Drosophila melanogaster: one gene and its partner. The protein of the gene in region 2 purifies or fractionates together with the protein of the main gene of each other region. This does not show direct contact. Each region holds a gene or a part of one and is shown on either strand. Other genes may lie near its edges.

What was found.
Region 1: the proteins of Ctu2 (region 2) and Ctu1 purify together in Drosophila melanogaster (affinity purification with mass spectrometry, with the first as the bait; one large-scale study listed by BioGRID). This does not show direct contact.

The regions. Positions count from the first base shown.
Region 1 is NT_033778.4:9,096,031-9,100,750, reverse strand, and holds Ctu1 (cytosolic thiouridylase subunit 1), read left to right. Parts: upstream 1-2,225; 5' UTR 2,226-2,300; coding exon 2,301-2,348; intron 2,349-2,404; coding exon 2,405-2,562; intron 2,563-2,614; coding exon 2,615-3,440; 3' UTR 3,441-3,820; downstream 3,821-4,720. Other genes in the region: CG8777 (uncharacterized protein), read right to left, coding at 1-97, 148-562, 622-699, 765-1,360, 1,498-1,690, 1,798-2,009, 2,065-2,157. UniProt on the Drosophila melanogaster protein: Plays a central role in 2-thiolation of mcm(5)S(2)U at tRNA wobble positions of tRNA(Lys), tRNA(Glu) and tRNA(Gln). Directly binds tRNAs and probably acts by catalyzing adenylation of tRNAs, an intermediate required for 2-thiolation.
Region 2 is NT_033779.5:19,490,903-19,495,885, reverse strand, and holds Ctu2 (cytosolic thiouridylase subunit 2), read left to right. Parts: upstream 1-2,632; 5' UTR 2,633-2,719; intron 2,720-2,922; exon of another isoform or gene 2,923-2,977; 5' UTR 2,978-2,992; coding exon 2,993-4,210; 3' UTR 4,211-4,239; downstream 4,240-4,983. Other genes in the region: swm (second mitotic wave missing), read right to left, coding at 1-1,329, 1,388-1,853, 1,929-1,987; CG18094 (uncharacterized protein), read right to left, coding at 4,257-4,983. UniProt on the Drosophila melanogaster protein: Plays a central role in 2-thiolation of mcm(5)S(2)U at tRNA wobble positions of tRNA(Lys), tRNA(Glu) and tRNA(Gln). May act by forming a heterodimer with NCS6/CTU1 that ligates sulfur from thiocarboxylated URM1 onto the uridine of tRNAs at wobble position.

The DNA.
Region 1 (4,720 bases), on a different chromosome or scaffold from region 2:
TGTACGAGCCGCGTCCCGCATAAGCATCACCCAATGACTCCCAGTAGCTAATGCAGCGGGAGTCATTCTTAATGGCAATGCGAAAGCATTGTATTGCCTGCAATAAAAGTGTTAAATCGGATTCATCAATGATAATCAATTGCTTACACTGTCCCACTTCTTCACATGCGAGAAATGCAGACCCAGCTTGTACTGCAATCGAATTGATTCATTGCTACCCAAATGGCTCAATGTGTTCAGCAGCAGGGTCTCGTTCAGTTCCTCCTCGCCCTGTTCTTGGTAGATAAAGCTCAAGGCATCCACAGCTTCCTCAGCGAGGGGATTAAGGCTTATGCACTTCTCGTAGCACTTGCGGGCTCGTGAGAAGTCCCCAGTGGCCAGCGGGTACAGCTTGCCCAGATAGTCAAAGCACTCGGCAAAGTGTGGGCGCAGTCGAGTGGCCTTTAACACATAATTTAGAGCGTCTGAATAGTTTTTCAGCGCCATATGCAGCTTGCCACAAAGTAGGTATGCCTCAAAAGTCTTACAGTCAGCAATTTCTTGAAGAGCTTCAGATGGAGATCTAGTATAGCAGATGGAAAAGGTGGATTGACTTCTTTAATTTTTGGATTTCCTACTTACAAAACAAATTCTGCTTTGGTCAGATCATCCAAGGGCAAATCTTTCAGCAAGTGCAGTTCGCCCAGCTTGAAGTAGCAGCTGCAAATTAAATAAACTCTTGTTATGCATTTTATTAAACCAAATACTATTGATAAAAAGCTCACCGAGCCAAAGACTTAATATTGCCCTCGGAGTTTTCAAGCGTTTGTAAAATCGTGACAGCTTCTCTTAGTTTTGAAACGCCTTTTTCGTGCGATAAGCATAGAGCATAAGCGTCGTTTTCCTGTCCAATTTCCTGCCACAGCTGAAGGGCCAACTTGTATGCGCCCAGCTCCATGTGGATACGAGCCAGCAATTCCAGCGTTACTTTGTACGCAGGTTGACTTTTCTGTGCCTGCAATGCCAACTGCCTGGATGCGACGACCTGCCCCTCAGCGAAAAGATCCAGGGCTTTAACCAACAAAGCAAGGTTAGAGTTAGGATTAAGCTCCAGAAGCTGCTCAGCGTACACCTGAATGGGATGCCTCAGCTCCTGTTGCCAACTAACTATTTCGGATTGCTCGTGGTGTTCGCAGTAGGTCTTGCATATCCACTCGAAGCCATAGACATCTTTGGGATGCGACTCGGTCATATTGCAGGCGTGCCGCACGCAAGTCTCATAATCCTGCTTCTTGTAAAGCCACTTCAGGTATCGCTTGTAAACCACGCTCCTTGCACTGGGTTCAGAGTTCTGCAGCAGAGCTTCCATAGTCGTTTTGTACTGAAAAAAGTGTAATTAGTCATTACGCACTAATTTATAATAAGAAATTGAGCTATGAAAGTGCTCATATCAATTATAATTCTTTATATTTCAAAATTATTTTTAATAAATAAATTAATAATTATACGGTAACTTACAAGCTGAGTATCTTCGGGCGCAATTTCAAAGTCGTTTGAAACCCAAATGCGTCCCAGATACTCCTGAATTTTCGTAAAATTTCCATTCTCTGTGTCCTGCACTCTCTTTTTAAGTACAGTGAAGCAGAAAGGAGCCACATTTGAGTCAGAGGCCAAGTTGAAAAGCTTTTCCCAATAGTTCAAGGATTGTTCTCTAAAAATGTAAAGTAAAGATCACTTTAGTAGTCCTTTTATGACAAAGTCTAGTATGGATAGTATGGAGTATGGATAATGACCAGGGAGTCACGAGCAGATTCTTACGGTTGCAGGTCAGCCAACTGATCATAGATTTCAGGCAGTTCGTTGCTGGGCGCGCAGTTGGCGAGTCCGAGGAGCGCGGCAGGGGCCGGACCATCCGTGCACTTGATGCACTGCCTCAGGTTTTTGGCCGCCTCCGCCTTGTCGATATTCTGGTAGGCTGCCCCAAGCAACAAGTAGCCCATAGCATTTTCAGGCTCCGATTTAAGTAGGCGCTGCAATAAAGGCATTAGGATGATGCATAACTGGTATGTTCTATGGTGACGTCACTTGGCACTTGGGTATGGCTTCCGCATGCTTGCCCAGCTTTATGGTCTCCCGAATGTCCTTGATCAAGGCTTTTGACTCTTTTACGGCGCTCATTGTAAATATTTATATTTATTTTTCATCTATTCCAAACAAACAGTGATGGGTAACTTGATTTTGTATAACGCCAGTGTTGGTCACTGCTGCATAAGGTGCAACAGCTGTTAATTAAATTGTGTGCTAATTAAGTGTCAGTAAAAATGCACATTATCTGCAAGTCGCAGTGCGGAAATCGCGCTGCTTTGAAGGTAGTTCATAAGTTAAACAGCCCCTAATAAATCCTAATAATGTTGTTTGCCCAAAGCGACCCAAAACCGGCGATGCCCTGTGCAAGGAGTGCTTCTTCGCAGCCTTCGAGGCAGAGATCCATCACACAATCTCCTCCAGCAACTTGTTCCGACGTGGCGAGAAGGTGGCCGTAGCGGCCAGTGGAGGCAAGGACTCCACGGTCCTAGCGCACGTGTATGTCGTACCATTCCCCCCATCGCACCTCTCTAATCCAAGTGTTCTACAGATTAAAACTGCTAAACGAACGCCATAACTACGGTCTGGAACTGGTGCTCCTTTCCATAGACGAAGGCATCACTGGATATCGGGATGACAGTTTGGAGACAGTGAAACAGAACCGTGACGACTACCAGATGCCACTAAAGATCCTGTCCTACGAGGAGCTCTACGGCTGGACCATGGACCGCATTGTTGCCCAGATCGGCCGTTCTAACAACTGCACATTTTGCGGCGTCTTCCGCCGACAGGCCTTGGATAGAGGGGCCAAGCTGTTGGGCGTTGATAGCATAGCCACAGGCCACAATGCAGATGACATTGCGGAGACTGTCTTGATGAACGTGCTCCGTGGGGACACGGCGCGCCTGCGACGCTGCACGAGCATCCGCACCGGCGGGGGCGAGGATACCATTCCCCGAGTGAAGCCCCTCAAGTACAGCTACGAGAAAGAAATCGTGATGTACGCCCACTACAAAAAGCTGGTCTACTTCTCAACGGAGTGCGTATTCGCCCCCAATGCGTATCGCGGCCACGCTCGAGCGTTTCTCAAGGATTTGGAGAAAGTGCGACCATCGGTTATAATGGACATCATCTACTCTGGCGAACAGCTTCGCTTCAAGGACACGGTAAAGAAGCCCGAGCGTGGCACATGCACCCGATGTGGCTTCGTTTCCTCACAGCAGCCGTGCAAGGCGTGCGTCCTTCTCGAGGGTCTAAATAGAGGATTGCCGAAGCTGGGCATAGGCAAGAAGTCGAAGGGCGAGCGAATGATTGCCAAGCAGAACCAGGAACTAGCATTGCGGGAGCGAGCAAACTTAGTAAAAAACGATTTTTAAGAACACATATGAATTTTATTTATTCGTGATTCCACAAGATACAAATTGTGTTCATCCAAGGTTGCCAACCTGAAAAGATAACAACAGGAACGATAAGTTTGGTTTCGCAGGCTAATTTCATTAATACTAGAATGCATTATGAAGCTCAGTGCCAAGTTTTTAACCAGGGCCCATAACCAGTCAAACAAGACGCTCTATCTCCAAAAGAATATTGAAGAAGATTGCCAGCGCTTGACCTTTATATGGTGTCTGTGAATGGTTTAAGTGATCATCATTGAAATCTTCATTTCCGCTAAACAGAATCTCTTTTCGTACTAACCTTTTTAGATATTGGAATTTATAAATGAACCATTGACGGATTCATTTTGCTACGCATGTTTCACATCTGTAAAAAAAAAAAAAAAATCAAAAACAATACAAATAAGTAGTTATTCAAATATAACTCAATCGTTTAAGCGATTTTAAAATGATCAGTTAATTATATTAGAAAAATTTGAATCACAACGGTTCATTAGAGATGTCAGAAATTTTAAAAGCATCATTTACATATTATTTCGTTCTAGAGTATAATTTACCTTTTCAAAGGAGAGATCCTTGTTTGGGCATATGACGCGACAATCAAAGGTGGTTTTCTTGAACACTGCAAAATGACAAAAATTAAATGGTTATAAAGAGCAGCAACCGATTTTCTAAAAAACTTATAAAACACAAAAATAATAAAATGAAGGGGTTTCAGTAAAAACTCGTATAGCTTCATAACATTTTTCAGTCGAAAGATGGTGTAAGTTTCATTCATCACAACACAATTAATTGTCCAATTTACACATAAAATTTAAACTAAATTTTTTTATTATCTTAAACCGAATTATTACCTTTTTCACTGTGTTAGTGAGCCACGTTTGATACATGATATTGACGTTGCAATGAACTGAAATTAAAATATATTTGTGTTATTCAAATGTAACAATCTTTTTAACAGGTTTTTTTAAAGCGTTTAAAATTCAGTGAAAACTAGTATAGCATCAAAATGATTTTCAGTCGAAAGATGATGATAGGGTCATTCATCACGAAATTTTAAGTAGTTTTCATAAATGAAGAGAATAATTACCATTTCACGCTGATAACCTCATTTATATTCCGAATCCAAATCGAAAGACCGATCTGCAAGTAATAGATGAGTTCTCATAAGTCACGGCCACAAGTAAAAATTATATTTAGTTGAGAGTCGAATGTGTCAGAATTAGTTATAACTGATTTGAATCACAACGGTTCATAAGAGA
Region 2 (4,983 bases):
CCTGTAGGCCACATTAGCTTCAGCATGAGTGGAAAAAGTCACGATAGCTGCCTCTGGATCGCCTTCGTACGAAACCTGAATGTTAACGATCTTTCCGAACTTAGCAAAGTGGTTGTTCAAATGAGCGATGGTGTTAAGTCCGCGCGGTACCTTCCTCAGCTCCAGCGAACTGTTATGCTGCTGCATGTTGGGATTGACACGCGGGCCAAGACGACTGTTGATCGGCACCTTTCGTTTCGTTGGCACATCGGCAATGGCCACTGTATCCTCCAGTTCGAAACGTCGCTTACCAACCTCAGCAACGCCTCCCGTGGGAGCGCCATCAACCACGGGAATAGGTATCAGCTGCCGCTGCAAGGGAGTGGTAACCGCAGTGGGATTGAAAGGGAATGGCATCATGGCCGCCTGCGGCGGAGCGCCTGGATTGCGCGCGTAGTCAGCGGGATTCGGAACGCCCATCGGACTGGGCCCAGAGCCGCTCATTAGCGTGGTTGGTCGCACATTACCGCTGAAGGGGTTAATGGTGGTCTGTCCTGGTTGCGTTGGTGGAGGCACTGGTCCCTGACCAGCTCCTGGTGGCGGACCTCCGCTCCTAGCCCATATTTCGGGCGCATCCGGATTGTACTCGCGCATTGACATCATGAGGGACGTGTTGTTGATGCCCTCGAACACTACCGGATTGACGCCATGGTCCCAGGGACATGTTTCACCCCTGACACAATAGCCCTTCTCGTCAAAGTCCCGGCAGCGCTGACGAGGATGGGAAGCCGGATGCTCAACGGGTGCTGGCGGCGCCACTGGAGCGGGAATTAGGTTAGCTTGGGCTGTTTGTACTCGGTCCGGGGAGTTCTGGTTGCGCCGCGCGTTTCGTTCCGGTGACATTGACCGACTGTGAGAGCGCCGGCTCTTATTGTTGCCAAATCGAGGACGATCATCTGCGTTGCCACCGATGCGCCGGCGATCAAAGTTGCGCCGACCATGATGGCGATTGTCGGTCTGCGAGCCTGGTGGAGATTTGTTACGGAATTGTCGTTGAGTTTTCTCGCGTTCGTTCACCCGTCGGTCGCGTGACCTGGACCGCCGAAAAGCGCGCTCGTTAGAACGCGATCGAGAGCGGGAACGGGATCGCAGGGAAGCACGTCGTCGTCGACTGTCGCGCGGCTGGTTTTCCTTGTCAGCATAACCCGCCGCAAGACCTGCTCCGCCGGGACCACCTCCTCCACTTCCGCTGACGCCGCTGCTTCTGCCCGGTGGGCTGGCACTGCGCACATGATGGTGTTGGTAGTTGGAGGCTGACTGTTGATTGTGGGAGTCTTTGGTTTTATGCTGCTGGATAAATTAGAAATATAAACAAAACAGCTAAGGCGAAGCTACCACTAAAACTCACATCAAAGGCTGGCTTGGCATCTGTAGGGACGTGCATGGCAATGCCGGCTTCCTGGCTGATAAAAGCTAGGGCCTCAGCTTCCCTGGCATCTTGACTGGCCTGCTCTAACTTGACCTGATTGCTATCGGGTTTTATCACATTATCTTTAGGAGGCGGTGGAGGGGAATCGGCAACCAAAACCGCTTCGATGTCGTCCTGGGGCCCATCAATGACCAGGGCCAGTTCCTGGTCGACTGTTAGCTCAGCGGTGGATGCACTAGAGGCTGTTATTAGAGGGGCAGCAGGGACCGTCAGGTATTCCTCGCTGGCAATGGCATCGAAGAGGCGTTCAACGAAACGTGTCGTCTCCTCGGACAGGAAAACATCGAGCTGTTCGATCATGATCCGCTTAAGGTCTTTATCCGATTTGTCCTTCTTGAGCAGCGCGATGACATATCGCGCCAAGGCCGAGGAGTCCGCATCGCAGCTGTAAGTGGGAGGGTGGTATGTGACGGGGTTAGTTCCAGGGATAGCGATGAAATAGCGGCTTTCAAGAACTTACAGTGGCTCCAGGACCACGCTCAGCCAATCCTTGAGCTTGTCCGAATTCTCCAGAATCATGCTAAGGCGGGTTGTTTCTACTGCTTGCTGCTGCTGCTGTTGTTTTTGTTTTTTGGTTGGGGGCTTCTTGCGTTGGTCTGCGCTAATCTGGGTGGGGGGTTAATCGTGCTCGGGGGGCAAACACGCCCGAAAAATTATTTTTAAGATGACCTCTGTCGCTCTGGCGACTGTGCTCCTGCGATTTGGGTGAACTTCTTACTTCCTGTTACCGCCGTTGCTTCTGCTTTTAATCTCTGAAATTGGATTTCGGCGTTTATTTTACTTTTTGTCGTACTTTTTCCTTCCTTCTTTTAATTGCTTCTTCTTCCCATCTGCTATCGTCAATAAGAAAGTTTCTCGATTTTGCTACCCGATACTTTTTGCTTGCGTACAAGCACGACGCACACACACAGCGCGCACAAACACACAGGCACGCAGAACTCACATACATACGTATTAGCAGCACCCAGTTTTTTGCGCCCAAATTTCTTGGGTTTTTCGAGCCCATTTTTCAACACAAACTCCAAAGACACATACCTCAATGCTTAAATTTAACTTATTATTAAGATTTGTACAACAAATTGTGGTTTGAACAGCTATTTTTATATTTTTCACTGCACTTTTCCTGTTGCAAGGTTGCTTTTGACGAGTCTAGGCTGCGTAGTCGATATATTGCCAGGTATATCGATAGCCTTCGATAACGGAATGCCCTCGAAACAGTGTTGACAGCTATAGACTATACCGTAGCTAAAGGTAATATATGAGTTTAAAATATAAGTTAAAGGTTTACGCTTTTTTAAATTATATTGGATATATTATATTCGATATTATATTATAAGAAAGCGCTAGCTTGCCGTCTAATTTTGACACTAAATATAGATAATCTATATAGATAGATTATAGATAGAAGACATTTGTCTAGAATTCCGCTATTTTGTATCCATTCATTTCACAACGTATTCATCCCTGGTCATTTCGTTTATCTGCGAAATTCTTTTTGTTGTGGATTAGACGTAAATTATTGCCATGTGCAGCATTGGTGAAGATGATTTTGGAGACGAGGGTGCCGCCCACGCCATGGTAGTGGAATCCCTACCATTAGGAATCGTCCTCAGTCCAGGGAATTGCAGCAAATGCGATGTAAACTCCGGCGAGCTCTACAAACTCAACTTCCGAACTGCGGAGTGCCGGGAATGCTTTCTAGCGTATGCGAGGCACAAGTTTCGGGCAGCTCTGGGAGCCGCCAAGATTCTGCCCAGAAACGCCGAGGTGCTTCTTGTCCTGGACGGGTCCGCAGAGTCGCTCGTTCTGCTCGACATGTTGCACTTCGCGCAAACACAGAACACGTTTAAAAGACTCCATTGCAACGCACGTGTGGTCTACGTGGAGGAGCAGCAAGTGCAAGGTCGCGATCCTGTGGACTTGGAAGCTCTGCAGAGATTATCAACACAATACGCACCCTTCGATTTCTATGTGATTGAACTGGGCGCCTTGCCCAGCTCCTTGCAGCGGATCAAGGATTATAGTCCTTTCCTCAACGCAAACAATGAGCTTATCCACAAGCTTCAAAAACTGCGAAGTCTGACAGCTCGCCAGGATTACCTCCAGCAACAGCGCAAGAACCTCATCTGCTCCGTGGCTCAGTGTCTGCAATGTACTCACGTCTTTGAATCTAATATAAGTGTTGACTTAGCCACCCAGCTGCTGACTGCAATAGCGCTAGGTCGTGGCGGTAGTGCCGCCTTGGATGTGGCTCTCCTCGACGATCGGCTGTCTGGAGATGTTAAGCTGCTGCGACCTCTCAAGGACCTAACTGAGCAGGAGATTCAATTTTACATACATGCACAGCGTCTAAAGCCACATTTTCAAAAAGGCTCACGTTATGGGATGGAGCATGGTGAGACTGCCAGCTTACAGAACCTTACATCAGCCTTTGTGGCCAATCTGCAGCAAAACTTCGCCTCCACAGTATCCACAGTGTTCCGAACTGGCGACAAAATAGCTGTCAATTCCAATCCAGAGCAGTCCTCTTGTGTTCACTGTCGATCTACACTGGACTCCGAACTATCCGACACTCTGCTGGCTATTGAGTACTCCAGATCTGTTTCAGAGGCCGGCGTGAGCCTGTACAAAAGCGGACAAGATCTCGAGGGCTTGGCCAAGAAGCGATTGGAGAACAAGGACGGTTTGTGCCACGCATGCCGCGCCATACAGACCGAGTTGGATAGTGGTAACTTGTTGTAGCGCAAGAGGAAATATATATATTTTCTATTAAAACTATATTCTTTTACTACAACTTGGCTAGCTTGTTATTGACAAGAGGCTGCAGTGGCAGATGCCCATCGCAGGGCGGTATATTGGAGGCCAGTACGACCTTGTGGAAGTCGTAGACGATATAGCGATTGTATTGCTTGGACTTTCGATGAAGGTCGTCCACCGATCCCGACAAGATAATTGTTTGTGTACAAGCGCCTGGTTCTTTGGGATAGAGCTCATCACCAGGAAGAACTCCAAACATGCAGTCATCGCAGCGATAGTAGACGGGCTGCACCATTGTGCTTCCATTGCAGCTCCTTTGGCGGGAGAAGTTGAGAAGCTCCTGAAAGCTATAGAAGTTCATCAGACGAGCGATGTCATAGAGCAGCATGAACGGGAGCCAAATAATGGCTTTCTGTGAGCTCGACCAAGCCTCGATCGGACTCAACCAGTGGGCCGAAGCCACCTCGTGCGGTTCCAGAAGCAGCTTTATATTCCTGGTGTACTTATCTAACATGGTGATATAATAAACAGTGTCATATTTCCGATTGGCAGTGGCTGCTGTCCTCCAAATGGACCATTCCTGAAGAGACCAGATATTGGGAATGACTTTATAATGCCGAAAGAGTTCCAGAAACTGTGAGGCATCATTGTGAACCCGATGTTGCCATTCGAAGTGTTCGCTTGACTCGAGAAGCACGGTTCTAGGATGACCCGATTTAGAATCCCATTTTTGTATGTCGTCCTGTTCTGTGCAAATC